3 linked regions of the Arabidopsis thaliana genome follow. The protein of the gene in region 1 interacts with the protein of each later gene in a biochemical or structural test. Each region holds a gene or a part of one and is shown on either strand. Other genes may lie near its edges. The genes, in order: ABAP1, CDT1A and CDT1B.

Region 1 (11,601 bases):
ATAATGCACATATTAAATTTCAAACAACTGTTGCTAAACATATTATTACGGTTATCTGATAAATAGTAATACTAATGGTTAGGCGTTAATAAGATATGTCATAGTCTCTAACTACCCACCGAAAGTTGTAAGAAAACTACATGAGGTATGGGAATCTGAAAGTTAGCTAGGTAAGTGACAAGAAAGTAAAAAATATCAACGGAGAAAATGACTTTACAATTCTTAAAATTAAATCAGTAACAAAATAAACCCATTTTGCTAGTTAATTCTGCTATCAGCAATGATGCTCTTGAAACAGTGACAAGAGAGTCATTGTTCTTCAGCACCGTCGCATCAGTTCTTGAGTAATCCAGTGTCTTTTTTGCATGTAACCAACCATCTTCGTGTAAATGTATGTAATTGAGCCTGAAATCTTTATTATCAATATCAAGATGCAAACCGTTTGGATTTGGATTCAAAAATTTGGATAAAAGCTTCACAATTCAACTTTCAGTTGCTAACACAAAACAGGAGTTACTGAAACAAACACCAATTTGATCTAAACTGTTTCATAAACTTATTATAACCATGCTCCAAAAACGTAGCTCTCTTGACTTACAAAACATTCAAGAATCACAAACCAAGAAGATACTGGAATCTAAGAAGTTTTGATCTTTAGATCCGAGCGGATTCTGCTTCCATATACTTACAAATCCTCTCCATAACCTCTCTTCCTTTAGCGCTATTCTGCATGAATTTCTCTGCGCACTTCTGTTCAACCTTCTCAGCCATTGAGGCCAGAGCCGACAAGGGTTTGATCCGAATGCTTGTCTCCTGGCTACAAACAGTCCAGGCTGATGGATTATCTGGATGCGGATCATATCTTATCCTCTCCTCCACTTCAATGAACTTTTTGAGACTAATGTTCTTTGTTGTTAGCTGGAAAACGAAATAGTTGAGACATCTTAGCTAATCCAAACACTCATCTATGGATTGTTGTTTATGACTTCCAACTACTAAGAGATACTTCATGGCATGCTAATCAAGTTCCAATGAAACAGATCACAGCAAACTAAAACAAGTTCCTTATCTTACAAATTAGGCAACTTCTTACTAGAACAAATCCTTGGTTGCTATATAAGCTAATCTAATCACTCATCAACGGTTGTTTACGCCTTGTATCTACTAATAAATACTCTATCCCAATCAGAGCATAGAGAAAAGCCGATGATACCTGCATAGAACGTGATTTGCCATCTACAACTGTTGATTCAACACAGTGACAGATGTCCTGACCAATGATCCTATGGAGAAACCATGGACCAGGAGCATGGATGGTGAGAGCACGCGTGGTGTGGAGTTTCCCGGTCTCAGTGTCGAGTTTCCTGTTCAAGGTATCGACTTCAAGGATGTGAGAAAGGATGCGTTTGTTTTCAGGGTCTGCAAACTTCCTCCATGAAGCAGCACTCACCCGCTCCCACGGATGCTTGTAAACATGCTCTTGTCTGTATGCTTTTACCATCAAGAATCTAAACCCAAATCATGAATGTTTTGTGTGAATAGGTGAAAGTGTAAACGAGATATTTTACTACAACAAATAAAAGATTTCTCAGATAAGGATCTAACCACATGATTTGGTCTGCAAAACATTGTTTTTAGCTATGAGGATTGATAAATTTCAACAAACAAAGACGAAGAACACTAACAATTTGGAGAATTTAAACATTGATTTCGTAAATAAAATTGATCTAATTACGGAAATTCTAATTTCAAATTCGGGAATATTCTTCAACGATTCCGACATCGGCGTGAATCAAAACGCACTTAAGAAACACGAAAGAAGAATGGCAGTTTTTGGTACTGTGCTAACAAAATTGAAGGAAACAGAAGAACAAAGAAACGTAATTTAACAGTTGACTCGATTGCTAATCGAGATTTAAAGGAGATTGTGGAAATTGGGAGGAGAGAAGTACCTTGAGAGGTCGGCAAATTCAAGATCTTGGTGAGCTTCGAGAAGTAATAATGACCCAAAAGTGGAGGACGTGACGAGAGTAAAAATAGAGAGGAAGCTAATCAATGGCGGTGTTTATAGAGAGAGACTTGCGGCTTATGTTTACGAACCACGATGTTTCTCTCTCTCAGTCTCTCTCGTAGACGGCACTAGTTTTTGGGCCTTTATTAAGCCCTATTCAGAGACCTCATTCATTATTGGGCTTTAATTGTGTTGAAAAACTCATAATTTATTGTCATACTCTGTGACTTTTTTTCCTTAAATGTTTTTCTCATTTTCTTATATACATAGTAATTATACTAATTTTCTTAGATTATGCAAATTATGCAAATGCATGCAGCAAAAAAAGGATTAGGCAAAAGCATGGATGTCCAATGTGGTTTTTGTTAAGTTTGGTTCAAACATTTTCAACACAAGGGACAAAAACCAGACATTTGTGTTACTGTTTCAAGGCATTCAAGATCTGAAGGTAACAAGAAGTATTCATGTTGCAGTTAATGTTACACATTTTGAGTTTGATTTTTCCTAAGCAACTTTCTATGCCGCTTTAGAGCCATGTTTTCTCGACCATTTGTATTTTGTAGTCTGATGTTCTCAGCCATTTGTAAAAAAAGTCATTTTATAAGCTATGTTTGAGAGCCTCTTTGGTATTATTGAGTTAAGCAGTTTATATTAGAGATATAGCAGTAACAAAATACAGACCGGTTATCAAAAGAAAAACAATTTTACCTAAGTAAAGTAAATCAACTACTTCAAACCGGAATCCTATATGTTTTATACGACGGTTGGGGGACTAGCTTCGACCGGCCGTGTGAGAATATCAGTCATGTAACTCCGAATTTCAGGTATAATTTGCTTGACAAACTTTGCAAACCTGCATTAGGTAAATCAATCGAAACTTGATGAGTGAAATAGAAGTTAAATTTCCCAAAAAAATTATAACGATGTAATGATTTTGCATACCATAATTGAGAGCTGAGCTTAGTGAAATGCTCAAGAACAAAGAGCGTGCAAGCTCTTCTTAAGGCTGAAGCATTGAATGTATCTGCTAACTCATACATCTCTGGTATGTTATCCAGACAGATTTCCTGCACAAGTAAAGTCCATCTTATTAAAAACACACAAGAGAGATTAGTCCTTCTGTGCAGAAAAATTAAGACCTTGGTTTTACGTTTGTTACCTGTGCAATGGTGTATTCACATTGACGTTTGAGACCTTCGAGAAGATATTGATCAGCTGCTACAAGCAGATCTTTTGCCAAATGTTTGGCGATGTTAATTCTTCCTGAGTAAATGAACTTCATCATAAGCTCAAACACTTCCCATCTTATATTTGGTATCTCCACATTTTGAGCATTGCGTTCCTATATCCAGTTCTCAAAGTTAGTTAGATGATATTCTGATGAGATAAGTTACCACAATCGTGATTCAGTAGCTTACCTTGTAAAGACCATCAAACATTGCACGAAATATATCAGAGGAAGCTACCAAGCCAATCTTGTGTGCATAGAATTGTTTACCTAACATAGGACATGGATATACTCATTAAAGAATGTTCTCACCGGTGGATTCTATAGAATCATAAATGGGGTTAAATGTTATACCATCAATTAGGAATGTGACATCGGACATAGTGGGGTTGTTCACGAATTTTTCACCCAGAAACACCTTCAGTATAATAATCAATAACAACAAGTCAAGACCTCAAATCACAAATTATTTGATGCTTGAAAGAAGAAATGGAGATTTTTTTACCTGTTGTGTGGGTGAACAAGGAGCTGAATCCTCTGGTGCAAAGGATGTAGCTTTTTTAGCTAACTCGTATAAAGCACTTGAACTATATCTCTGCTGCTTATTGCTTGAGAAATAGAGAAGTTCCAACAAAAACTCTACTCCTGCATAAGTAATACTTCAATAGATCAGAAACAAAAAACCACAGAAAATTTTATTAGAAAATGAAATTCTGAATATATGAGATGCTTACCATTGTTATCAATAAAGATTAATTTTCCATCTTTAGGGTCACAAAGATGTGCAAGAGCCAGAGCAATTCGTATTTGTACTGTCTTCTCAGCGGTTCTCATTAGGTACAATAATTGGTTTAGTACCTAAGAAGGTTGAGACATCAGGGGATTAGAAACATCGCAAAACATAATTGAGACCCAGAAGTTCTAACAGAAGTAGGTACTCACAGGTCCGTGAATCTTGTTCTGCAGCCTCTTCAATGTCCGAACCACACAATCTCTAGTCGGCTGCAAATAGATTACTTACAATTAAAGTTTGAAATTCTTATTAGATTGGTTTTGCAAATATAAGCAGTCAAATGCATACTTGGACAGTAAAGTTGTCATCTTGAAGCTTTTGAATACCTCCAGCCTTTATGAAATCTGCTACGTTTTCCTATTGACGGGAAAATTAATTAAGTACTCACGGTATGTCAAGTAAGCAAAGAGTATAGCTACATATAATACTATTCATTGCGAGTCGAGTTTACCTCGTTATCTGCAAGGCCATACAAAGCAAAGGCAGCATTGTGTTGCACAGACCCCGTTTTCACATCAAGAAGATTTAGTAGTGAGATGATGCCTCCTCTATGTGCAATGCCAGCTTGATTGTGTGCGTCCTGCAACATTCAAAACATACAATTTTTGTTTTATCACAAAAGGTCTGATTTAACAATCATCTACAAAGAGTCAGATATTAAAAGCAACAAAACATTCACATGCTAATTCAAAAACATATATACCTGAGCCAAACGACCAAGAGCAAAAGCTGACATTTCCACGACCTGCTCATCTGATGATTCAAGCATCTTAATCAGTGGTGTAATGGCACCTCTCTGGGCAATGTGCACCTGCATGATCATGTTGCCAGTTATGTTAAATATGTTCTCTCTAGTTAGAATCCATTCAGTTATATCGTAGAAAAAAACGAGTTTGAGTGAACATAACATGTGCTAATATTATAGTACAACAAGAAAGAGACAATCCCATACCTTGCAATCTGAATCAGGCGCAGCAAATTGACCTATTAATAATGCTGCTTCTCTCTGTGTTTCCAAACAAGTGGAGCTGTAGCAGATATCATGAAAAACAGTTACAAAACATAATTCAAAATTTCAAGAGCTAGCATCTGTTCCAGCAGAAGTAGAAAGAAAGTAAAATAAGCATACCTAAGTAGACCAATTACTGGTTGTAAGGCACCAGCACGGATAACCTCTTTCTTGATGTCAGGAGATGAGTGGACAAGATTTCCAATTGCCCCAATCTGAAAGTCCATAGTACATTAGAAAGAACTGAACAAATCAAACCAATTGCAACGATCTAAAGCAAGATGAAGAACTAACCGCTTCCCCGTGAACGGTAGAATCTTGTGATTGAAGCATCAATACAAGTGTGGGTAAAGCATTCAACTCCACAATCTACATAGTTGCGCATTATGTGAGAATCATGCCTTTCATAAGCCTAAACAAAACATAATCATAGTAAAAACATACTTGACTCTTGTTCTCGTCGTTTCTAAATGAAACTGTTCGCAAGGCCCCTGCCGCAGCCCTCTGTACTTTAACATCCGGAAAATTGAGAAGCTCAACAAGTGGTGCAATGCCACCTTCAACCCTGTAAAGCATTTTTAAAAGGTGTCAAGTGAAAACAGCTAGTCATCACCATAACCAGTAAGGATCATGAGATATTAGTACCTTATATTTGTTTTAATCCTTGGATTGTCATGAGCAATGTTAGTAATTATATCAGCGGCTCTCCTAATAACAGCATTAGCAAACATGCATTCACCACATTCCCCACGTCTCTTCAACAACTTCACGGTGGGAACTATGGCTCCAGCATCCACAATAAGCTGCTGGTAACCAGGCTATTTAACAGAGAAAGCTAATATCAATATACATCAATCCAAGCTAAGTACATCTAAGATAGTTGCAAATCGCCCATTTCAAAAATTCTAATGTTAACTTCCAACAGAGATTGAAATTACACAACATCTCATCCACAATTTCATCAAAAACAGCGAAAGAAGGGTTACCTGAATCGCAGCAATAAGTCCAAGAGCAAGAGCACAATCTTTCTCTAGCTTGTGCTCGCAAGATTTGGGAACATTGCCACAAACTACCAAAGGGGATTCCAGATATCTCACCAAAGCAGGGATCGCTCCATTTTCCACGATGATTTCAACATTTTCATCTATATAAACAGATGAGAAAATCAATTAAGCCAAAAAAAAACACTTCTAGGTCTCGCCTTACTGAAAATCAAAGTACTATGGGCAAGAACAAAACAATTTCTATGTAGAATCCAAAATTAGAGTGAATCCGTTGTCGAGAATTGACTCAAAATTGAGCAACTCAAGGACGAACAAGCAAAGAGAGTAACACGTTTTCAGTTTTAGCCGCCGATTAGAGGTAAAATGAAGAAGTACGGTACCGATTTTAGCCAAATCGGCGATATCAGCAGCAGCTTCTTTGACAGCTTCGTGATCAAAATCAGGATCTGAGAAGCTGGAGTTAAGAACCTCGACGTGACGGCGAATCGCGACGACGAGATCTATGGGTTCGTCGTCAATATCAATAAGTTGTGTGACGATTGGCGCTCCATCTGTGTTGTGACTGAGTTTTCGCTTCAAGTTTCTGGCGGCGAGGCGTGTTGTTCGCTGGCGCTTGGGATGGTTCTCCATTGGCGGATGGTTTGATATCACCGGCGCAGTAGAAGATTTGACGGAGAATTTGAGCGGTGCTTTGAACGATTTTGAGATTATCATCAGGAGTGGAGAGAGCGTTTTCTTTATAATACCAAAGCCTATTTGGCGGGGTTTTGAAATTTAGTTTTTCATTTGGGAGCCAAATTTCCCTCCTTCCACTCAGAGGGAATTTATTATTTTCTTCCATTTTTTTTGTTATTTTTGGTCAAAAAGATTTTTAAATTATTTTCTCATTAAAACACTAATAAAAAGGCTAAACTAAAAATAAAAATCCTACACATATGGTGAAATTAAAATTTTATTTTTGATATATTGTCCTAGCACAAATTTTAATATATTTTCTAAAAAATATAATCTAACTTTTGGATAATTAACTTTTTAATTCATCCAAAAATTGTTTTGGATTGGGATATCTTGATTTTAATGATCACATATTCAATATAGATCTACAAATATATCAAAAAAAAAATTTCCATGTTTTGTTAATTTATTAATAGAATTCATATAAACTAGATGATAACGTAATCAACACGTTTTATTGATATAGTTAAGTATCTCTTTTTGATGGTTTCATGCCAAATTTCTAGTTCATCTAACTGTTGATCTTGCATTTAATTCACAAGTTATTTATCATTGTTAGTCTAAAAGAAGTCTAACTAACCTCGATGTAATGTCAAAATCAAATATGAGAACCAAAATCTTTTTTTTGTTGTTGCTGTGTGTTTCAAATTTGCTCTGAAATTTCAAATTTGCGAAATATTTGAAAACTATGATGTATTCAATTGTTATTTTCATGGATTATTATGAAATTCTTTTACCTCAAAAGTGGACTTGTTTCTTTTTCGCTTGTTGTTGAGATTGCTCCCATTCTTTATGTTGCTAATGAGCTTGAATCTAGTAACGCTAGGTTGACTTATTGGTATAAGTTTTTCTATAAACTCTTTTCTAACATTTTTTATTATTTTGATATTTAATTTGTTGTTTATCTGTCAATATAAAAAATACTTACATCGACAATAAAAAAAAAGTTTACTTAGGCAATACTCATTAGTACAATTTGTACACATTCAATCACGTCATCTTTCATAATATTGATATTATCCAATGATACAAAAACATAAGAGAACATTAGTAACTCTTCTAACACTAAATATATAAAATCAATGTTCAAAAATGAAAGCTCAACAAGATAAATAGTCTAATTGAAATAAAATTTTATGGTCCCTGGTTAGGGGATGTATAGCCTAGACTTGTTCATTTAAGAAAAAAGGTTCAAAAGAGGCACATATGAAAAAACAGTCTAATTGGTTTTTGGTTTGATTTGTCTGAATATGTGTTCTTATTCAATGGTGAATCCAAAAGATCTATATTAGAAACTTAGAAATCTACGATGGAGAAAAATTGTTTATTAAAATCCAACGTGTTATTATTAAAGTTATTTGTGATTACCGCAAACTTTAGATCAAACCATAAGCCCATTTAATCTAACCAAAGGTCAATATATCTTTTTTTCTTTACGGCCAAATATCTTATTAATATAAGAAGAGTTTGCTACATGCTTTGGTTAACCCAGGAGATTACATATGGTGATTCCTGAATTCTAGCGTATTTGTAGCTTCTTTAAAATTTGGTTTTCATTTAGGAGGCAAAATTAAATTTGTTCCCTCGTTCCACTTGGAGCGCCCTCGTTCCACTTGGAGCGCAAATTTGAGTAATCTTTAAAACACAAAAAAAAAGTTAAAAACGCTAAAAAAAAAAAAAAAAAATCATACACATATGGTGAAATTGAAAATTTTCTTTTGATATCCAGTCCAATTGCAGCGCAAATTGAATATTTTTTTATAAATATAATCTAGTTTTCGGATGGTAAAATTTTTAATTTATCGAAAAACTGTTTTGGATTCAGATATCTTGATTTTAATGATCACATATTCAATTTAGATCTGCAAATATATCAAAGATTGTTTTACGTGTTTTTGTAAATTTATTAATAGAATTCATATAAAACAAATTTCTAGTTTACCCAATTGTTGATTTTGCGTTTGCCTCATTGATTCACAAGCTACTTATCATTGTTAGTTCAAAAGAAGTCTAACTAACCTCGATGCAATGTCGAAATCAAATATGAGAATCAAGATCTTATTTCCTCTGAAATTTCAAATTTGTGAAATATTTGAAAAACTATTATGCACTCAATTGTTATTCATGGATTATCATGAAATCCCTAGCCATTTACTACTTATAATTTTAATCTAACAAATGGTAATTAGTTGCATTTCTCAAAATAAACATGGATGTTAATTGCCAATGCAATAATTTTCTCCTTAGATTAACTTAACATTGCGCTATACCTCAATAGTGAACTTGTTCCTTCTCCACTTGTTGTTGAGATTACTCTCATTCTTTGTGTGGTTATTGAGCTTGAATCTAGTAAAACTAGGTTGGCTTATTTGTATAAGTTTTTCTATAAACTCTGTTCTAACTTTTTTTGTATTTTGATATCTAATTTATTGTTTATTTGGCAACATAAAAAATATTTATCTCGGCAATAAAAAAATACTTACCTATGCATTACTCATTAGTGAACAATTTATACACATTAAATCACGTCATTTTCATAATACTAATATTATCCAATGATACAAGAACATAAGAGAACATTAATAACTCTTCTAACACTAAATATATAAAATCAATGTTCAAAAATGAAAGCTCAACAAATATAAATAGTTTAATTGATATAAAATTTTATGGTTCCAGGCTAGGGGGATGTATGGCCTATACCTGATCATTAAAAAAAAAGGTTCAAAAGGGTCACATATGAAAAACAGTTTAAATGGTTTTTTGATTTGATTTGTCTCAATACGTGTTCTTATTCAATTGTGAATCCAAAATGCCTAAACTATAAATCTACGATCGAGAAAAATTGTTTATTAAAATCCAACGTGTTATTATTAAAATTATTTTCGATTACCACAAAAATTGGATGTGTTAACACATCAGCTTGGTCTCTTATTAAGTCGTCATCTAGAGAATTGTTTAACAAAATCAGCAGATGAACACGACTAAACTATCAATGAATAGACTCTTTGAACTGGTACTGTAATTGTTAATGAGTAAATTTTGTTACAAACGTTGGTGTTTAGGTAATCAGAATAATAAAGCGCAAACTTTAGACCAGATCCTAAGCCCATTTAATCTAACCAAATGTCAATATATCACTTTTTTACGGCCAAATATCTTATTAATATTAGAAGAGTTTGCTACATGCTTTGGTTAACCCAGCAGATTATATATGGTGTTTCCGGCATTCTAGCATTTTTCGCTAATATATGAGCTACATGATTATGATCTCTGCCAATACATTTAAAGCTGAAATCTTTTGGCACCAATGCTAGAAGGTCTTCTAGGAAGTTATGGATCTCTTTGTTACCAGGTAGCGCGATTTCTTGTGTCATGACTTTCTCAAGATATTTGTAGATGATACTAGAATCGCCACAAAAAAACACATAATGATAGTTGAGAACTGCTTCAGTTAAGGCTTTAGCCTTCGCTTCAATAGCTGTAGCAATGGGCTCTATAGAGGAAGAGCCCTTGAGAAGCTATGAGCCTTGAGCTTCAGTTAACACCCAACCTATACCCGCCTTGCTATTGGCATTCACCCATGAGGCAAATATATCTACAAAATTTAGATAGGCAAATATTAGTTCAGAACCTCAAGCCATTTAATCTAACCAAAGGCCCAATACATGTACAAGTTAAGGTTGGCAAACTTTAGTTCATTACTTGAGAGAATATACAGTAGAGAGGAGTCGTAAATTTTTATGAATCACATTTTGGCAAGCACATGTTTCGTGACTTGTAAGAAAATCTTGTTCACAAGCTTTTTTGATATGTTAAGGAAATATGTTTTCTAGGAAGATTAATTATATCTGCAGTTTATGGATTTCCCATTTTTACTTTCATGGTCATTTCAGGCTAGCAATGCTCTCATACAACTTAGCAACAATTTCATGTTTAGAGAAAGAACAATCTTTTGAAGCTTGCACATTTTGCAATTTCATGCTTGGATATATGAGCCACACACTACACTATTGATATTGTTTAGGCTACTTTTACTAAATTCCTGTTCTAATGTTCATATATATTCCTTTTCCACACTGGATTAACAACATTAGTCTTCATTTTATGAAACTATTAGTAATCCTTTAGCAATTAGGTTCACATTTTGTCGTTTATGGTTTGGAATAATTTCCCTGCAGTTTTTTTTTCTTCTTAAAGAACAAAAAAAAAACGGGAACTTGTAATGATTGGAGCTCGCGTCTTTTGTATCACCACGACAGCACTACGAAGATCACCAATCTTCTTCTTCCCCAAGATCCCGACCCGACCCGTTTTCAGATTATCACCAGCTACTAGACCCATCGTCGCCATGAGCACCACCAGCAAAAACCAAGAGGAACTCGATTCCATTTTCAAGCAGAAGCGGGTCGTGCGCTCCACTGTCCGCAAATCCCTAAAAGCCATGGACCCTTCTCTCCGAACCCAACAAGGTTCAATCTTTTTTTTGTCCTTTCTTTTTTTTGTTCTGTTTTCAATAACAACACTAATCTCAGGTTGCCTTGATTGTAGATGAGGCAATTCAGAAGACTGTTCTTGAAGCTCCCTGGTTCAAATCATGTAAGGGATTGTGTGCTTACATTAGCTGCAAATCTCTCAATGAAGTCGACACTTCTAAAATCCTCTCTGAGATTCTGCAACATCCAGGTACATCTATCTTTGTAATTTCATCCTCACGAGATTAATAAAAAAGGAAGCTTTACATTGTACTCACTGATCACTTGGTTTAATAGCATATCCCTCATTATGATCAATGCAAATTGCTCGTGTCTCTATCACAGA
Region 2 (10,510 bases), on another chromosome or scaffold:
GTTAAATAAATATTCATGACATCGTCGCCTTTGAAGTAAGTCATTGAGATTTGAGATAACTAAAGATGTTTTCATGAAGTCGTTACCTTCTGTTAATGATTATTTCCTTTAAGCCAATATCATCCTAAATTTTGCAAGTTCTTTGTTTTTAATATGTTTATATTTTGACATTTAACAATTACTGAGCTATCTTTAAAAGTCACATTTAAAAAAAGGGAGACAGTTGCACTTTTGTCGATTATTCATAAATTTCTATTCCACCGATAATTATACTAATAGATTTCTATATGTTTCCGAAAGTTGGCATTAATTAGAACAAAGCATGCCTGTATCAAATTGTTTCAATGTCTTTCAAATGAAAGAGCTTTTGATAATATGTTTTAGTGGACAACGTTTGAACTATAATGACTTGGTCCGTAACTGATAAGCCATGCAAATAATTCTTTTAATTATTTTTTAGTTATGAATTAAAAATACATTTGGTTTGAAGTGATTTGTTATTCTGTTTTTTTTTTCCCCAACAATTATGTTCAATATACTATTTATAAAAAAAAACATACTTCACAAGACTTCTTAATTTCCTCTGCATTGGCTTATTTGAGTCAATATAATAAAGTTATTGACAATAATAAATGTTTCGTAATTTCGAACTCACATGACTAGCTATGTATGACATATATTTTACCATATGGACATGCATGGTTTTGGAACCCTTTCAAAAACATTTTTGTAGCATTTTGAACTTATTATTATTAGTTACAATTATAACAGAATATCTATTTTAGATTTTCATAAAAAAGTAAAGTTAAACGAATTTTTTTCTACTAAACTCTCAAATTTTTTTTATAGTAAATTAACTATTGGTTTTGTAAAATACTGAATACCAAAGCATATGTTTAAGAATTATATGTATATCACATAGTTTACAGAAGAAGAAGAAAAACTTAAATTTCTGCAAAGATAATATAATTTAATTTTTCTAAAATAGCAAAGAGAAATAAAATGAAGGTGAGATATCCATATTCTTTTTACCAGAAAGAAAATAAACGAATCTTAAAAAATAGATTCCAAAGGTAGGGTTTTGAAGGTTTCTCCAAAAAGGGAATTGGGTCAGAAATTGCTTAAAAGAGTGGCAAAGGTCTCTCTTTTTTTTATTTTTCTTTTTTGGAGATTTTAATTTATAACTTATCTCTCTATTTTTTCTTCTTTAATAAAATACTTTTGTTATATAGTACAGTATATTACTGTTTGGGAAAGGCTTTTTCAAAGGAAAACAATGAGACTTAGGAATGTATGATGGGACTACTTGTGGTCCATACAAGATCTAAGGAATCTAATAATTATTGTCCTTATAAAGAAAACAAAAAAAAAAGAGAAATCTCACTCAATACAAAATTCCATTTTTTCTTCTTCTTCTGATGTATTCTTTTTGGCTCATTGGAATGGCCATGAAAAATCATAACCTACCTCACTACCAAAGTGATATCCTCCAGTTTTATTTCTTGATGCATTATTTAGATGGCTCTCTTTTTAATCTGTTGTTTTTGTTTTTAGTTTCACTTATTTCATTTACCATAGGTTATTATATAGTAGAGATGTAAATCGTGTGTATTGATGGCATATGGATAAAGTAAAATGAAGAAGCTTTGTAAGTTGTGACAAGATGACTAGAGAGTCAATAAAGATGACCGGCCTATAGTTGTTAATAGTGACAATATAGCTTGAATTAATTGCTAATCTAGAAACTCAATAATCATTAGTCGTCAATATACAAATCTATTGAAACAAAAATTATTGACAGTCCTAATATTATCACTTAGGAATTTAGGAAATAGTCTCAACGGATTAAGGAGAATGCAGCAAAGGTTCCTTCAATTACATAACATAATTAGAAAGAGAAGTATCATTTCTAGGATTGAAATATGTTAGCAATGTTCTATTAAGCTTTTCTGATACAAAAATGTATCTATTAATGATAAAAAGACTCAGTATTTATGAGAGAGTGGAGGAGCGAGATCGGACACGACGATGATGATGATGAAGGGTTTAGTATTTATTTTAGGTTATTTGGCGCGAATCCGACTTGTGATGGTGCCACGTGGACTCCCGCCGAATTCCGTCCGTTAATACTTCGCGCGATTTTCTTTGTGAAAGCCCAGTAGGCCCAAATGATGCTCTCAGAAACACACCTCTCTCTCTTTTTTCATTCTGTCTTTTTCTCTTGTGCAAATAAACCAATATATTTTTAAGCTGTGAAATTGAATATTATTGAACATTGGGTTCACAATATACCAGAAATTTTCTTCTAATTCACGGAACCGAAGTCCCAAATGGCCAATGACCCTTTGGAACTTCGGTAGAGGAACTAAGAGGAGTATTAAAGTGGCTTGAGAAATTAAACTTAGATCCAAAGGAACTGGTTATTTGCCTAACATATATGAAAATGTCTAACGGATTTAATCAAATATAAAGGGACATAATCAGAAAGAGAATTGTCATCAAGGATTTAGATATGTCATGGTTGGGAGATTAAATCTGATCTCTTTCCATACTTCACACAACAACGGTCCTTATAGTCTTGTTCTATAAAGAATTCTGTTACAAAATGCATAAAATTACTCTTTATTGATAGAGAAATAACCTCATTGTCATAATTCAGAAAAAGATGAAAACACCTTCCTAAATAGTTTGTCATCTACTTGTTTTCACCCTTTTACTTTACTTAGGAACTTTATAACTTAGTAGTCTCTACACATCTGTCTCATGAATAGACTATAACATATTTGGCAGTCCAAAAATAAGTTAGAACCCAAAGTAACCGCAGCCGATGGAACCACGATCTCAAGAAAGCAGTGGAGCCATCTCTTGCTTGTTTTCTTCTTCAAGACGTGATCGGATTGTTAGAGGAGATGCCAACTTGTTTATGCTGCATATTAAAGTTGCTTACATGAGCGATCCATAAAACCAAGAAAAAGTGAGTTGAGTATATGTGAGATATTAGACTCACCATACTAGAACATCTCCACTTGATGATTTTTTCTCAGACATCCATTCAGGGACAATTTCTTGCAGTAAGATTAGTTGTTCTTCAACTTCCTCTGAAAAATGTAAGTGAGGCAAGAACAGTTAGGATGGTTTTCAAACAATGTAAAGAAAAGTAATAATGAGATACTTAGTGGTTAGAGGGCTTACTTCTGTCAGTAATATCAGAGTGACCGGCAATGATCTTGTGCACAAGCTCTTCTTTTGTGATAACCCAACGCCTTATCGATTGAATTAAGTAATGGATGACATTGAAAAGTTTAGGTAGACAAGCGATCATCTTTCGCCTTCTTTTTGCCAGAGAGATTGCTGGATTTTGATCCTCAATCGCTTTCCTCTCTTGTTCTTTTATCTGAAATGAGCAAAAAAACAATCTCAGTAAGTAAAGCCAATCTCAGTTTGTACTTCTTAATCTCAAACTGAAAAGTATAAAGCAAAATTACGAGAAGAAAAGGAATCACTAATAGAGATGTATTACCGCATGTCGAAGTTTATCAGGAAGTATGCTGAGTATTTCATCATCGCTGGATACATCTTCTTCTGGTACTTGATCAATGGGTATATCATCTGTGAAATCCATAGTTCTCTCATCCTCAGGATAAGAATCAAAGTTCAGAGACAAGGAACGCCTCACGAGCTTAGTCGGTGGGTCAGCAGAAATATCATCTGGATTTGTATGACCGTTGCTTCTTTTCAGCGGACGAGCTGCCAGAGAAGTACTCATCAGCCGGGCAGGAGTTGAAGCAAATTCAGGTGGAGTTGCAGTAATGACTGGTGTTGAGTCAATAATCGCCGGTGTTGAAGGAAACTTAGCCAGAGTTGACACTGGTTTGACTGGAGTTGGCAATATATTAATCTCAGACAAAGTCTGTTTAGCAGGAGTTGAAGTTGGTTTGGTTGGAGTTGGAGCAATGTTAATCTGAGACGAAGTTGGTTTAGCCAGACTTGAAGTTGTTTTGACTGGCGTTGATGTGATGGGAGATGAAAACAATTTAGATGCTGGAATAGAAGCCATCTCTTCCATGAGAGAACTAACACGCTTGACTTCAACATTTGAGTTTTCAACTGGTTTCCTTCTATTGAAGGGCTCAGGAAGCGGTTCCTCTGGAACTTCATCACCCTAAAACAGAGAATAACACCATTAGTACTTGAATAAAATCACAATGCAACTTCCAAAATCACTAAAATAGATAGGGCATTATACCTGAGGGTGAGCTTTAACAAAATCCGCAAGTCTAGCCCGAAACACTTTCCGAAGAGCGATTTTCTTACTTTCCGATTTCGACTTGTCGTTGTATTCAACAGCATCGGCATTGAGCGTAACATGAAGGTCCGGTTTCATACAGCAAGTAGTTTCATCATGTATCAATACTCTCTTAATCTCAATCGCTTCAGGCAATATATGCTTTATTTGAGCCAAGTGACTATAACAAAACCTCCTGAAATATACATCCACACAAGAATTATATAAACACACCAGAAACAGACTCGTGAATATCTAAAATCTAGAAAAGTTATCGGAGAAATCTATAAAACCCAGATCTAAAGTATTCTTTTGTCTCATCGAACCTATAAAGTATAAAAAGCAAAGATCAAAATGGTTTATTTATTCAGATCAGATCCCATAAACACGATCTAGATTATTAATTTGTCTTATCGACTCTATAAAGTTTAAAGGCAATAACCAAATTTGGCTTATTTATTCAGATCAGATCCAATCAGTGACAATCACAAACACGATTCAAATTGAAATGTCAGGAAGACTACCTCTCGGTTAAATGCTCGATTTGTTTAGAAATGTTGGAGAATGTTGGCTTAGAACCTCTTAATTTCGATAACAACATCGAATTATCCAATGCTTCAAAGAACTTTCCCAGATTCTCGTACCTGCACAAATCCAAATCCTAATCAGTTAAAAAGGGGAAAAAATTGAAACTTTTTATAAACCCTAGAGATTAAAACTTACTTCTCCGGAAGTTTCTCTTTCTCTGCATTTTTGTTAGAGCTTTTACGTTTTGAAGGAGAAGATGATGATGAATCGAAAAAGAGCCTGCTTTTGGCAGATGAAGCAACCGGATCTTCAGATCTGCGACGAGATCCAGCGGCTTGACGAATTTCTTTCACTGATAAAGCCACAGATCGGTTTCTCGATCTACTAAGCATGTTCTCAAGTGGTTTTTCCGGCGTAGGCAATGCTACAGAAGACGGATTTGGATTCCCGGTTTGAGATTTCGAAGACGGCGAATCCATCACCAATCGTTTCTTCGATTTGAATGGAATGGATCTAGAAGAGCCTGGTGTACTCATTTTTATCAACAATGTCTATAGAGTGTCAGATGCAGAGAGGAGATAGTGGAGGAGATAGATGAAGACGATGAAGACGACGGAAGAAGAAGAAGGGTTTAGATTTATTTAGGTCTTTGGCGCGCAATCCTACGTGTACCAAAGCCACGTATACCTCCCGCGCCTATTAACCCGTTGCTTCCCGCGAAAACACTTATCTACGAAGAAGCCCATTAATTAGGCCCATTATGAATTGCTGTCTCTGAACGAATCTAATAGATGCAAACCAAAGAGACCAGATTTCTTTTTTTCAACTTGTGATTTTTTTTATATGAACATGATTTATATAAGGTCGTCGTGCAATGTTTATGCTGCTTGTTCAGTATTTATAGTTTTTTTGAAAAATCAAAGATAATCTCATCATAAGGAATCTTATCAACAGTAAAATATTAAGATAAAACAGTTAGCCCAGCAAATCAAATATAATCAATGGTTTAGTTTATGTTTTCTATGTTTCTCTTTCTAAACTTTGAATATATTTACCACATCCTTATTTTAAATCATAGAATTAAACAGTTTTTAAATGATTATGATATTTTTTCTATTGTCATTTCTAATATTTTACTAACAAAACTTTAATTTTATTTGTCTATTAAATGTTATATTTTTCCGGTATTGTTATTTCTGTATATACTTGAACTTTTTCTTATTAAGGTTCGTCGTTTCCATTTTATTTTATATTATATTTGCTAATGAGGAAATCTATATAAAATCATGAAATAAATATTGATTATTAAAAGAAAACACATAAATATTAAACATTGAATATTACCACATCCCTATTCTAAATCAAAGAATTCAATAAATTTTCAATGATTATGAGATTCTTTTCAATTGTCATTACTACTATTTTCTTACTAACAAAACTTCAACTTTTCTTTTTATTAAATGTTATACTTTCCGATATTATTATTTCTCTATATACTCTTATTTAAATTTGTTGTTTTATGTCAATATATGAAGTTTTGATGATTATAATAATAAATACCAATTTTTATTTCTTTTATCGGTTTATCGTCTAGTTGACAAAAAAAAATATAATGCCGTTATAAAATAATTATAACTTTCATGAGTTTTTATTTTTGATTAACATTTAAAAAATTAAAGGAGCTAGATGTATCAATTTGTATTATATTATGCTCTGAGACTAAATATTGATCTTGATACCAAGAATCTGATCTAGATCCAAAATTTATGTCAACTGACTCACTATCATATTTTCAAAACTCAATTTTAAAGTTAGTAATATAATGTACATCTTAACTATTGTTTTTTTGGGTCTGTTTAGAATCTGGGCCGGTGCCCACTCAAAACAATCGGCCCATTATACAAGTTGTTAAAATAAAATTCAATATATCACATTAAAGAAAAATTACAATTTTTTGGCTTCAAGACTTTTTTTTTTGTGTGTGCAAAGACTTTTTTGGATTCAAGCTAATAAATGTTAGATTACCTTTTTAACCAAAGATCAAAGTAAAACCAAAATCATAGAAGAGGAAGAGAACTCGTGATCACGTTTCTTTGGTTAAGTAATGTTGTATAGAAGAGAAGAGAAGAGAAGAGGAAGAAGAAAAGCCCAAATCGAAAATTGAAAACTAGTACTCCAAACTCCAAAGCATCAATATTTTATCACTCCTCTTTTCTTCCACGCAAACCCAATTCTCTTCGTCTTCTTCTTTTGCTTTTCTCCCCTAAATTCGTCGATCAAATTCTTGTCTTTTCAACTTCTTCATCGAATTTTCCATTGCCCATAGCCTCTGTATTTGATTCCTCCTTCTCTAAAGCTTCGGATATTAAGACAATTATATCTTCCTAGCTGCTTATAGACCTTCGCTTTCTAATTGCTGTTCCTTTCGTGGGTCTCTGGTAAGTTTTGATTTTCTCATCTGCTGTTATCGAGAAAGGTTGATTTTTTTTGATTAATCGCACTGTGATTTAAGGTTGGAGGAGATTATAGTGTTAGCTTAAGGGTTTTTGAGGTTTCAATTTAGAATCGTATTGCTCCTGATCATTTCCCTGTTAAAAGTAGATAAACCCCTTGTTCTATTGGGAAGGAATTCGCCGTTTTTGCTTCGTCTTCTTGTGAAAAATAGAGTTGGTTTTAGGTAATTGACTTTGATCAAGGTCTATTGGTTGTGCAAAGGTTGCGTGAATCTTGTGTCAGCCTCTTGATTGAGTATAGATTACTTCGTCTTCGCTTTCTCTGCACCATCAATTGTCATCAGAGTGCTAGGCATTTAGTGCATTGTCCAAAGATTCTGCTTGTGCATGAATGCTATTGTTGAAAAAGAAAGGAAGTGTTTGAAATCGAATAGTCTTTTGAGTGTCAAGCAAAGGATAGGTGGGTCTGGTTTATATCCATCATGGTGGAAAACAGATATAGAAACATTTCTTTAGCAGGTTATGCCACGAGTTCCGTATCCTTGGTTTGTCTTTCTGCGTTTAAGGATTTGATTTGCCTTAGTGTCTCATTGGTTAGTATATTCATTGTATGTGCTTCTAGCTTGAACATTTTAGTGGCACTTTTTTGTTTGCATACATAAATTATCTCTGTCATTAGGTGATTTGCATTGTGGATGCTTTATGTTATTCATGTTTGATGCAGGATTTGTAGTTGCATTCTCATTGCGCACTACACTTTCTTCAAATTTCCGCGTGGTAAGCAGGGAATGGACCGGCTGTTTTGGCCAATCGTCTGTGTTTACAAATGATGAGCAGTGGGCATAAGGGTCCAAATGTACGTAACTTTTTTAAATGGCAACGTGGTGAATCATCATCGTCTTTGACTACTGGATTGCTTCATAATGAGTCACACGAGATTGAGCTATCTAACTACGGAGGAATACCAAGTCCTGGTAGTGAGAGCCCATCGGGACTTCTTAATGGAGAGAGTTTAAATGTTCAACCAATTGCTGATTTGGATCTTTTTGTCGAAAGGCTCTACAGCTACTACAGAGACAAAGGACTTTGGTGTATTATAGTAAAGTGGGCTGTTGAGCTTCTAAGTCTGGGCTTCATCATATGCTTCTCTGGGTTTTTCTTGCTGTATGTTGATTGGAATGGTCTTCAGAATGCAAAATGTGGAATGGATGCAGTTGAATCAGGAACTAAACCATGTGATCTTGTCAAAGAAGCTATCCATCCGCATCCTTTATCCCCTTTCACGCTCACAACTGCTATAATTGTTGGATATTTGGCCCTCTTCTCTGTGTACTGGCTCTTCTGCTTCTTAAGGTTTTTTGCCCAGTTGAAAGATACTTTGGACTTTCGGCACTTTTATTACAACAAGTAAGTTGGAAGTTGCAACATGCTATGAATAGTTATTGCTAGAGCAAAACATGCATTTTAGGTCATAATTGATTTTCTTTCTTTTTGTTGTAAATTTGCAGTCTCCATGTCACAGACAATGAAATCCTTACTATGCCATGGGCAACAGTCCTTGAGAAGGTTGTTCAGTTACAAAGCTCACAATGCCTTTGTGTGGTTAAGGATCTTTCTGCTCATGATATGGTTATGCGCCTTATGCGGAAAGAAAACTACTTGATTGGAATGCTCAACAAAGGTTTGCTTTCTTTCCCAATTTCCCATTGGATCCCTGGTGCTGGTCCAGCAGTCAAATCCGCACCAGATGGGACACAGTATCACCTTGTATTGACAAAGACCCTTGAGTGGACCCTTAACTGGTGCATATTGCAGAGCATGTTTGACTGGTATGCTATTCTCCACGCTAATCTTTGATCTAATCTGAAAACTGCTTTCTAATAACATTGTAGATATAGGATTTTATGAACTGCTATAGTGATAAATGGAGAGTTTGTGATGCATATGGAAGTTTCAGTTTTGATGATTTGCTTTTTCTTGGTCAGATTGTAGTGATCTTTTCAAGTTAATAAGATTGTCCTGTTAGAGGTTTTCTCCCTGTATATATATTACGTCAGTGAAAAATTGCGTAAGTTAATAAGATTGTCCTGTTAGAACCTACATGGGAGTGGCCGAAGTGCGTGTATGTTATATTTCATATTCGTAGTTAACTACTAGTACTACGGTGAAGAGTAAGGCCATAGAATGAAAAATTCCTTGCACATGCTAAGAATTGTCCGTTTTGTCTAATTCAGGCGTTTTCATTCTGCAGCAATTTTCGTGTTAGAAGGGACTTTGTTTCAAATCCTACAACACTGAAGAAACGACTATTTGTGGTTGGGCTTGCTATGCTTCTGCTGTCACCGTTTCTTGTCATCTTTATGTTGGTGTATTTATTCCTAAGGCATGCTGAACAGTTCTACAATCATCCAAGTACTGCATCTTCTCGAAGATGGTCCAATTTGTCAAAGTGGCTCTTCAGGGAATTCAATGAGGTAGTTGCCTTCATCTGGCGTCCATGCCCACAAAAGTCGTGTGAACGGAGTTTAATTCTGATTTCTTAGTAAACCTTTGAAATTTTCCGACTCTCTCCATTCAAAATAAATGTGATGCCTTTTCTAAACTTCTTGTTTCTACAACAGGTTGACCATTTATTCAAGCATCGGATTAATAGCAGTGTAGTACATGCATCCGAATATCTAAAGCAATTTCCCTCGCCTATCATCTCCATTATTGCAAAGTTTGTCTCGTTTGTTTCTGGCGGCTTTGCTGCTGTCTTAATCATCATTGCGTTTCTTGAAGAATCTCTACTTGAGGGACATGTAAGAAATACTAACAACGCAAAAAGCATTTGATAGATAAATTATTTGGGTATTGAAGTTTCTTTTACCACCTGTGTAGATATTCGGCCGCAATCTGTTCTGGTATGCCGCTGTTTTTGGAACAATTACAGCTATTAGTAGAGCTGCCATATCGGATGAACTTTTGGTCCTCGACCCAGTAGGAACTATGTCTTTGGTGGTCCAAAACACTCATTATATGCCTAAGAGATGGCGTGGAAAGGAGAACAAGGATGATGTCCGCTTGGAGTTAGAGACTCTGTTTCAGGTACCATGTTAACTTATTAACTTCTTTTTTTACAAACAGTTTGTTTAAGCTAAAGATCAATATTTAGTCACTGCCATCTTTCATGTAAATTTTCTGAATGTTTTCTATTTGACACTGTCAAGATAACTGCATACAGTCTTATTTTCCATAATACGCT
Region 3 (10,097 bases), on another chromosome or scaffold:
AGAGAAGCCTAAGCTTATACAGAATCAAACCAACCTCATACTGAGGTAAAAGAAGCTGAATTCGAAGTCCAATCGAAAACAACACATCCTCATAATGAGGTAAGAACAACTTGAGCTTAAGCAAGATCATAACAGCCTCATACTGAGGTAAAACCAGCCTAAAACTAGTAGAAATCATCACATCCTCATGGTGAGGGAACTGAAGTATAAACGAAGGCATGTTCCAAAAGAAGGTAAAAAATTCAAAGAAATTACTACCTTTCAGAGAGACAAAACCTTTTGATAGAGTGACTAGAGGATGAGAGAGGTGTGGAATAGAGAACCAAAGCTCCAAACAAGCGAGAGGAAATACTTGGTACCACGAACTGCACACAGCAGTAATAGATCGTAAAGCAAAACCCAGATCTAGAGGGCTCAAAGCCTGAACAAGATCTGATCCTAGATCTGAAGACCTCAACAACAAAATCGAGAGAAAGGAGTTGGAAGCTCCAACGAGATAGTCTGGTGGGTCTGGAGGGTCGGGAGGTTCAGAAGGAGAGACCAAACTGGTCAAATCTTGCGGTAGAGCACACGGCGGCGGATTCGGAGAAGGGAGGAGCAAAGGTGGAGCAGGAGCCCGAGCAAGCATCACTAAAGCCATAGAAGAAAGGAAGAGGAGGGAGAAAGAGGAAGATTCTCGCCGGTGGGCGAGAGGCCACACCAACGGCGGCAAGGAGAAGAAGAAACCCTAGTCGTCAAGTTGAGAGAGAAAAAGGATTTTTTTATAATTACCTCAATCATTCCATGAAATTCCCACTCTTTTGAGAAGAAGTACATTTAAAAAATTTAAGATCTTATTTTCATAGTGAAAATATATGGAGCATAGGCGACGACTAGATGTAAATTATCTTATGGATGGGGTTATACTTAGATACTCCTGCTAAAGTTTATCTGTGTCCCTAAAACATAGAAGGAACCAAAACTGACAAACCAAAATTTTTATTTGGGTCATTTGAACAAATTATAGTCTGTATTGAATTAGGCGACAACAAAAAATCTATAGTGAATAATAAAAATAGATAAGAGATAATTCCATTTTTTTATAAAGCATTTTTTTTCTTTCTAGTCAATTCTGAGTGGATTATAATGTACTATTATGTAAGTATGCATACAGACAATAGGTCCGACCAAATGAATCAAATGCATAAAGACAAAAGCTTTTCATGGTTATCATTTTTATTGCGTGCTCATCATTTGTTCAAATAGTTGGTAGTTTCTAATGTAAATCCAATTCTATTTTCTTCAAAAAAACTGGATATGTGTACATCATGCAAAACGAAACGTAACAAGTTCTGGACTTGAAGTTCATCAATGCATGCATATATATATATAGCTTTGGACGAAAAATAATTAAATTCATGTTTGGAGGATACCTCCACGAGATTGATAAAATTATCGATCTCGATGTCCCAAGTCCCAACACCGTTCTCAGTCTCGTGTCTCCTCTTGTCCTTCAACGCTGCCTTCACTTTAAATAATTAATGACAATGAGGGAAAACATATGATAATCACAATGGAGAATATATATCACGATCGAGTGATATGCTAATGTTTAATTATGATAAATCTAAAATGGAATATGTCAAATACGACCCAATACATCATCGAGTGATATAAAAACGAATTAAAACAAACTGAAAATGATACTCAAACGAAGAAAAATAGTATTTTGGCCACCCACTACTACTCAATCAAACAATACACATTTTCATTTTTGGTTCGTCAATATCGCAGCTTTTCATCATTCCACTAAGCTCAGTAATTTAGTGGGGGAAAAAGGTTTTCAAATTCTAGTTTCTTAGATTGCTGACTCTGTTGAAATTCTAGTTTCTCGTAATTACACAAAGAATTAGTCTTTGTTATTATTTCTCGGAGGTTGATGAAAAAGAGATTAATAAACAGAGTTTTGACCAAGACAAAAATACTCATAAAGACAAAGAAGACAAAAACGTAAAAATGAGACTGAAGATTATTTCATAATAAATACTTTGGCTCATCAGCCACTATACTTACTAAAACAATTTACTCTCTCTCTCTCTCTGCAATGTCACAACCTCTCACCACCAGACCCACCGTTACCGGAATATCTATAATCCCTTTCCGACAACCGCCGCCTCTCTGTTCTTTCCTCTTCGTCATCGTTCTTTTCGTCGCCACTTTCTACACTCTCCATCATCCAGACGCCGTTACTCCTCCTCTTCTATTTTCTCGAAATGCCTATAATGCCCTTCGTCTCCGCCGCCTCTTCCTCTCCTCTGCTTCTAACGCCACCATCTCCTCTTACCTCCGTGAATTGACCCGTCATCCTCACCTCGCCGGAACTAAACCCTCTTTAGACACACTTCACTACGTCTTTAACCATTTCCAAAGCCTCGGACTTGAGACCCATGTCGCCGAATACGAAGCTCTCTTATCTTATCCTACGCACATCTCCGTCACGGCAAGTTTTAGCAACACGACGACTCTTGAGTTTGACTTAAACGACGTTCCCGGAGACTCTCCGGTCGTTAGGCCTTACCACGCTTATTCTCCATCTGGGTCGGCGCAAGGTAACGTGGTTTTCGTGAATCACGGCGAGGAGAGAGACTATCATGCGCTTGAGTCTATTGGTGTGAGCGTTAAAGGGTGTGTGGTTTTAGCGAGGAAAGGTGAAAACTTGGGAAGAGGAGCAATTGTGAAAATAGCAGAAGCTAAAGGTGCGCTGGGAGTGCTAATATACGCCGAGAATGACGGTGGTGGATTTGGCGGGATTGAGAGAGGTACGGTTATGAGAGGAATCGGAGATCCGGTTAGCCCGGGTTGGCCCGGAGTTGTCGGAGGAGAAAAACTGAGCTTGGATGACGAATTGGTCACTCGGAGATTTCCCAAAATCCCATCTTTGCCTTTGTCTCTTCGTAATGCTGAGATCATTTTGGCTTCTCTGGGCGGTGCTAGAGCTCCGTTGGAGTGGCGGAATTCGGGTCGTGTCGGACCGGGTCAACGGGTTGGCCCTGGACGGATGGTTATTAACATGACGTTTCAGGTTAGTTAACTAGAATTTTGCATTTCCGTTATGTTTTCTTTGGTTTGACTTTTGTAATTTTCCGTTATATTTCTTAATTATGTGATTAATTTTCGTTACTTCTTGTGTGTGTTACTTCTTTAAATTGTAGGGGGAGATGAAAATGAAGAAAATTAACAATGTTGTGGTTACAATAAGAGGGAGTGAAGAAGCGGATAGGTATGTGATACTTGGGAACCATAGAGATGCATGGACATATGGAGCTGTTGATCCAAACAGTGGAACTTCTGCTTTACTTGACATTAGTCGACGATTTGCTCTTTTGCTTAAATCTGGTTGGAGACCACGTAGGACCATTCTCCTTTGTAGTTGGGATGCAGAAGAATTTGGAATGGTTAGTAAATTAGTAACTTCGAAAAGTTGAATCTATATATGATGCTTCACTAAATTACTTGTGTTCTCTTTTTTGTTGTATAGATTGGATCAACTGAATGGATTGAAGAAAATGTTCTTAACTTAGGTGCAAGTGCTGTTGCTTATCTTAATGTAGATTGTGCAGTCCAAGGCTCTGGTTTTTTTGCTGGTGCAACTCCTCAATTAGACGGTCTTCTTGTCGATGTCTTGAAGCTGGTAAGAATACTAATAACCGGGGCATTCTCAAGCGTTGTTGAAAACTTATACTCGTAGGAAATGTCTTAGTCTCTCGTATTCATCTATGCGTGGTCAGGTACAGGATCCTGATGCAGTAGGCTTGACAGTGGAAGAGACATTTAAGTCTCAAAATAACATTGTGAGTAGACTATTCAAAAGAGCTCATACATTGTCTTTGTAATGTAAAACTATGTAATGTTTTAATGAACTGCAGATTCAGAGGCTAAGTAGAGTAGATTCTGATTTTTCCGGTTTTCTTCATCATGCCGGGATACCGTCTATAGACATGTACTATGGAGCAGGTCAATGAGAACATGATTCCTTAAGTCTTGCAAAATATTCTATAATGTGATGTTTTAATGCAAGTAATACCAATAATGTATGTTGTTTATCCTTTCTTTCAGATTATCCTGTCTATCACACTGCATTTGACTCCTATGATTGGATGATCCACAACGCAGATCCATTGTTTCACCGTCATGTTGCTAGTAAAGATTTCACTTCTCTCTTTTGATCTATTATTATCTTTTAGTTATTTGTTCTGTTTTTCATGGATGTTATGAAGAGAATTCACTCTCTCTTCTTTGCTTTCTATATTTATCAGTGGCTGGAATTTGGGGACTTTTAGGAATTCTCTTGGCTGATGAGCCACTCATACCATTCGATTACATCTCTTATGCAGACCAATTGCAGGTAGATTTCTTTTACTCACACCTTTTATACGTAGAATAGTAGGAAAACTGAGTTTATGTTTTGTGTAATGATTCAGGCACATAGAGATAAACTGAGCAAGCTCTTAGAAGGGAAAGTCTCTGTAAATCCCTTAAGCATGGCGATACAAGAGTTCTCTTTGGTTGCCAAAGAAGCCGCAGATGAAGCAAAGGTTTCTAATGGTTTTGCTAATTAACGTATAACCTCAATCTTTTGCTTCTTTGTCTCACCTATACATGTTTTGGTGATTGATTTGCAGAAGTTAAAGGGAAAATCATATAGCAAAAATGATGTAGCAGCAGCGGCGAAGAGAAGAGAGCTAAATGACAGGTTGATGCTTGTAGAAAGAGGGTTTTTGGATGCAGAAGGGATCAAAGGGAAGGAATGGTTCAAGCATCTTGTGAGTAAAACTTTTTTATTCAGTCAGATTTTCACCAATTTTGCAAACCTCATGAGACCTTGTTTGTGTTTTATGCATAGGTGTATGGACCGGCGGCTGAGCCAGAGAGCAAGCTAGGATTCTTCCCGGGAATAGCAGATGCCATTGCGATGAACGCATCAGAGGGAATAATTGAGCACGAGATATGGAGAGTCGCAAGAGCGATTCAGAGAGCAAGCAAAGCTCTTAAAGGAGGTTTCACATGAGAAAATCTGAAAGAGTTCTCTTTTGTGTATATATTGTGACTATAGATTGTAGAAGAATAACGTCTTATGAACTAATTTTCATAACCATTTATGAAACAAACACTATAATCTAATCATATTCAAGACTAACATTTTTTTTTAATTCTTTTTTTGGGTTAATAAAACTAATTTATACTGTAACCTTGGGTATGATATCAACATCTTAAACATCATTGCAAAGGACAAATACTTTCTTCGAGTAATATAGAAAGAAAGAACAATCACTATCTTTATTTTTAGAGTATGCTTTTCGGTTTCAAATGTTTAATCCTTTTAACAATCTAATTATTTTAAGATGAGCTAGAATCTTTTCTTTCAAAAGTGTATGGTTCATTTACCTTTACATTCAAACACTTCTCAATCTATCTTCTAAGATGTCATATGATTGGAGAGTGATGACTGTGTTTCCCTTTGGTTTTGTTCTTTTGCTTTAGTACTACTCTTTTCAAAATTTGTCGATTCGACGAAGACCTAGCGAATCTTGTTCCTTTGCCAAACCTTATTCTCAATCTGAGTCTTACACATTTTTCTCTGTAGCAAGAGCTTCTTAAATTGGTATCCACAGACCACAGTTAACAACAAATACAGTTCTTCTGCATGTAGTAGAATTAATAATCATCAAATGGTGTTTTGTCTCCTGATTATTCTCGAATTATGTAAAACGAATGTTACAAGTTTATAGGTTGGACCAGCTTAGAAAGAAGATATTTGTGAAGAATAATGATAACTGAATTGGTGAAGAGGATGAAAACACAAAAAAAAGTTTCAGTTTTATGGTTTTTCAGTAGATAAGTGAAATGTCATGTGAAGTTGCTTCTTCAAGTCTTGCACGTACTGTTTCGGCAGTCGACATTTTATTGATGCTGCAAAAAGCAAAAGATATACCAGTATTAGAGCCTCAAGAAGCAAATTAGATATTTTCAATACAAAATGTATTTTTTTGTTTCATTTGTGAAACTTAGAGCCAAATAAAGAAAATCATAATCATTTTTGGTGGAACATACTCACCGAACAAGAAGATCCCCAGAAGATGCTTTTGTTTCAGATATCCAATCCGGGACCAATTGCAACATCAGACTTAATTGTTCTTCCACTTCCCCTGGCAATGCAAGTAAGAAAGAAACTGTGAGCCTGTCAAGGAAGAAAAGGCAGGGAAATTATCAAACATTCAATATTAACTGTCCCTACTTCTATCAGTTATATTGATTTGGTTTGCAATAATCTTGTAAAGAAGCTCCTCCTTCGTGATGACTGTCCGATTTGTTGAGTGAAACACTCTATGAATCAAATTAACAAGCTGTGGCAAATTGTGCTTCTCGGGTTCAGTCTTTGGTCTCTCTATCATCTGCAAGACACAAACACACACACAATGGTAAGTAAGGATGTCTGTTTGCAACTGAAAACGAATATATCCGGAAACAATGTGAAAGCAAAATTGTTGCAGGAAAAAGCATCACTTACTGACTGAAGGAGGCTATCATCATCAGAAGCATTATCACCTTCATAGTTGCTTTTTTCATCACCAGATTCGTTACTAATGTCATCTTTCACAATTGTTTCTTCCTCAAGAGTGTCAAAATTCAAACTGCGAGATGGACCTTTTACTGACTGGAGAAGGCCATCTTCTTCATAGTTGATTCCTTTATCATCAGATTCGTTACCAATATCATCTTTCTCAATTGCATCTTCCTCAAAAGTATCAAAATTCAGACTGCGAGATGGACCCCTTGCTAGACTATTTGTTGATCTAAGAGAGTTATCATCACCACCCTCTGGAGTCAACTCAATACATCTTTTAGATAGCTGCAACGTCGGTGTAGCACTCATGAGCCGGATTGGCGTGGACAAGTCTTTGGAGGGAGTGGATAAATCTTTGACTGGGGTTTCAACTATTCTTGATTCTATGTGTGACAAAGTAGAATCAGGAATGACTTTGTTAACATCTTGTTCTTCTTGCTCTATCTCCTCCATATGAACATCAAACCCTCCAACTTCAAGTTTAGGTTCTCCTAAGCCTACGCTTACTATACCTGAATAACTATCCCTTTGAGGAGAATTGAATGGTTCAGGAAGCAGTTCTTTCGGAATTTCGTCCTGCATACAGAAAACAATAGATGGAGAATCCATCAGATATAAAAGCATTATTCAAAAAGCTACAACTAATTAATAGATTAGATAAGCCTAATAATGTACCTTAGGATGAGCTTTGCGAAAATCTACAAGCTTTGAGTGAAACACCTTTCTAAGTTCCATGTATTTAGTTCCACAAATGGTATCCTCAACTACAATTGCATCGGTATTTAATTTAATATGAAGCCTAGGTTTCATACAACAAGTGTCTTCAACAAACTTCAAAACTCTCTTTAGTTCAATAGCTTCCGGATAAATATGCTTCATCTGAGCCAAATGATCATACGAGAAGATCCTGTAGACCCAAACAACATTAAGCAAATACAATCAAACAACACACACACACACACGATTGATCATATGCATCAAAAAGTTTAATCCTTTAAACTCTCAAGATTCAACAGAATCCGTTTAAACAAGAAGCGTGAAAGTCAATGACTTTACCGATTAGTAAGATACTCGATCTTGGGACATATATTAGCGTATGTCGTTGACGAACCCTTTAATTTAAGCAGCCTAATTGCAGTATCCAAACCATTGAAAAATTCCTCCAAAATCTCGAACCTGTAATGCCAATAAAAAAATCAACAAAATTGAAAGAATAGTCCAAATTTGAGAAAAGTGTATGAACAAATCAATCAATCAATCTCACCTTTCGGGCAATTTTATAACAGATTCAGGTTTTGGGGACGAAGAAAAGATCTGCCTTTTAACGGTTTTGATAGGAGTCTTGGTAGAAAATAGTGACTCGGAAACCATAACTGGCTTCTCTGAATCAATTTTAGACGACGAGCTCATTGCTGAAAAGAGAGATTAGGGAAGTGATGTGAAGTTAGAGAGCGTAACGGCTAATAGAAATTAGGGTTTTGAGCTCTCATTAAAGGAAGGGTCAAGAGGTGGAAGAAGAAGAAGGCAATCTATAGCTGTGGGCCCATATTTGCCACGTCACTCAAACCGATTCTAAACGTTGGTTCCCGCTATTTTTCTTAACCATAAATTGGTACTACGTCGTTTTATGAACGATCAAAGAAAAAAAAACAATTTGTATTCCTATTGATAGAAGATTTTGTGTCAAATAACACTGAATTTTTAAAGTGTTAAAGTTTTTTTACATTTTTATTTTAAATTTCACTGAATTTATTTATTATTTTGTCATCATTTTCTTCTTTAGTTTATAATATGAATTTTACTATATTTACAAATACTTCTGGGAAATTCAACGTTTTTAAAAAACGGTTATACAAAATAATGTATGTAAGAAAACACAGAAGACTGGGGTTAAAACGAATCAATTTCCAATTTTCTACTCTTTATGGCAAAATAATATCTTGCAAATTCTGCACTTATTACCAAAAAAATAAAAATAACAGCTCATCATGTGTCTGAAGTCTGAATCTTATTTTTTCCCCAAAGAATATTCGAAATTATTACTTAAAAACGACTTCTTGTAACCGTAAGTCTTAAGAATTCGAATAGACAGTAAAACAATTTCCAAAACAGAAAAAAAATTAACAGCAAAACAGAACCAATAGTGTCTCCTAAAAGAAGTAAAAATAAGGTGGAGGAGAAGTAGTCAAATAGAAGAAATAAAAGCGACGTCGTTGTCAGAAGAATATACCACAAGAATATGTCAAAACAAAAACAGAAATATGATTACGTATAAGTAGCCGTTCCCGACGCTGCCTCTTTTTCATTTTCACAACACCATTTCTTCTTTCTTTCTCTCTTACAGTTTCTGAAGAAACAACAAACAAACAAACTAATACTCTTCTCTTCTTCTTCTTTTTTCTTTCTTTAAGACAATCCCATATTAGAGATTGTTTGCGAGAAAGTAAGCAAAAAAACAAAAAAAACTTTCTGTAAGTTAATGTCTTCTTCATAACTATGTGCTATTGAATCTTTTATTAACTTTTATTATGACTTGTTGTTGAATGAGAAATGAGGTTATGCAAGCGTCTGGTTAGTGTTGTTTATAAATTATATAGCTTTTGTGTCTGTTGTGTAGCATGTGTTTGTGTTATGTCTATTAAATAGAGTAGTTTCCTAAGAAACATTTTCTATGATACCTGATCAATGTTTTGATAGACGACAATATGTATGTGGAAGCTAAAACTCAAATCGTCTTTTACAAAATTGTTCAGTAAACTATGATTATACAGCTTTTTTGTTGTTGAAGTTCTGAGATTGAAACTTAATTCGTTTACAACTTTCTTTCTTGGATCAGTTTATTTTGGCACATTCTTGGAACAAAAACAAGATAAGTGGTCTGAAATATTTTGTGATTTAAAGGAAAGTTTTGACTGTCATTGAACTGTACATTATGGAATATGATCAAATCTTTTGTCGGTGTGCGTCACCATCTTACTTCGTGTCCCGTTTTTCATTTCCCACGCGTCAAGTCAACCTTTACAAATACTTACGCCAAAAAGATATAAAAATTGATGAATTTGACGAGTTTTTAAACCTTTTTGATGATTATAGATTAAAATTTTACTATAGTTTATTTTCTGCATATAAAACGTGTCTGAAACCAGCTTATGTATATGAATTTGATACTGATTACTTAATATGTGTTACTTAATATTAACGCAGAGGAAAAGAGAAAGAGAGCAATGGCAGGAGATCAACTAAACGTGCTAAACGCACTCGACGTCGCCAAAACGCAATGGTACCATTTCACGGCGATTATAATCGCCGGAATGGGATTCTTCACCGACGCTTACGACCTTTTTTGTATCTCACTCGTCACAAAGCTTCTTGGCCGTATTTACTATCACGTGGACGGCTCAGAGAAGCCAGGAACGCTGCCACCAAACGTCTCAGCCGCTGTTAATGGAGTCGCCTTCTGCGGTACACTCGCAGGCCAGCTCTTCTTTGGCTG

What was found.
Region 2: the proteins of ABAP1 (region 1) and CDT1A form a complex in vitro, tested with the Arabidopsis thaliana proteins (one study listed by BioGRID).
Region 3: the proteins of ABAP1 (region 1) and CDT1B form a complex in vitro, tested with the Arabidopsis thaliana proteins (one study listed by BioGRID).

What each region holds. Positions count from the first base shown.
Region 1 is NC_003076.8:4,138,116-4,149,716, reverse strand, and holds ABAP1 (ARMADILLO BTB protein 1), read right to left. Parts: upstream 6,808-11,601; 5' UTR 6,760-6,807; coding exon 6,426-6,759; intron 6,186-6,425; coding exon 6,028-6,185; intron 5,860-6,027; coding exon 5,687-5,859; intron 5,607-5,686; coding exon 5,486-5,606; intron 5,411-5,485; coding exon 5,336-5,410; intron 5,257-5,335; coding exon 5,162-5,256; intron 5,061-5,161; coding exon 4,985-5,060; intron 4,844-4,984; coding exon 4,736-4,843; intron 4,613-4,735; coding exon 4,484-4,612; intron 4,390-4,483; coding exon 4,321-4,389; intron 4,242-4,320; coding exon 4,182-4,241; intron 4,098-4,181; coding exon 3,974-4,097; intron 3,885-3,973; coding exon 3,745-3,884; intron 3,658-3,744; coding exon 3,594-3,657; intron 3,510-3,593; coding exon 3,430-3,509; intron 3,354-3,429; coding exon 3,171-3,353; intron 3,079-3,170; coding exon 2,954-3,078; intron 2,865-2,953; coding exon 2,765-2,864; 3' UTR 2,577-2,764; downstream 1-2,576. Other genes in the region: AT5G13070 (MSF1-like family protein), read right to left, coding at 655-918, 1,214-1,501; 5-FCL (5-formyltetrahydrofolate cycloligase), read left to right, coding at 11,006-11,252, 11,332-11,466. UniProt on the Arabidopsis thaliana protein: May act as a substrate-specific adapter of an E3 ubiquitin-protein ligase complex (CUL3-RBX1-BTB) which mediates the ubiquitination and subsequent proteasomal degradation of target proteins.
Region 2 is NC_003071.7:13,323,876-13,334,385, reverse strand, and holds CDT1A (CDT1-like protein A), read right to left. Parts: upstream 5,525-10,510; 5' UTR 5,350-5,524; coding exon 5,009-5,349; intron 4,930-5,008; coding exon 4,810-4,929; intron 4,482-4,809; coding exon 4,247-4,481; intron 4,163-4,246; coding exon 3,521-4,162; intron 3,395-3,520; coding exon 3,193-3,394; intron 3,099-3,192; coding exon 3,008-3,098; intron 2,927-3,007; coding exon 2,842-2,926; 3' UTR 2,555-2,841; downstream 1-2,554. Other genes in the region: APG9 (autophagy 9 (APG9)), read left to right, coding at 8,093-8,673, 8,775-9,095, 9,518-9,740, 9,888-10,067, 10,147-10,353. UniProt on the Arabidopsis thaliana protein: Member of the pre-replication complex. Component of the plastid division machinery. Promotes polyloidization and regulates endoreduplication. Involved in the coordination of cell and plastid division.
Region 3 is NC_003074.8:20,249,802-20,259,898, reverse strand, and holds CDT1B (CDT1-like protein B), read right to left. Parts: upstream 8,088-10,097; 5' UTR 8,015-8,087; coding exon 7,869-8,014; intron 7,781-7,868; coding exon 7,661-7,780; intron 7,512-7,660; coding exon 7,280-7,511; intron 7,181-7,279; coding exon 6,548-7,180; intron 6,432-6,547; coding exon 6,275-6,431; intron 6,186-6,274; coding exon 6,095-6,185; intron 5,950-6,094; coding exon 5,868-5,949; 3' UTR 5,576-5,867; downstream 1-5,575. Other genes in the region: AT3G54730 (transcription repressor), read right to left, coding at 1-640; AMP1 (Peptidase M28 family protein), read left to right, coding at 2,084-3,061, 3,192-3,434, 3,518-3,670, 3,768-3,830, 3,906-3,993, 4,096-4,179, 4,296-4,384, 4,461-4,574 and 2 more; PHT1;7 (phosphate transporter 1;7), read left to right, coding at 9,829-10,097. UniProt on the Arabidopsis thaliana protein: Member of the pre-replication complex. Regulates endoreduplication. Involved in the coordination of cell and plastid division.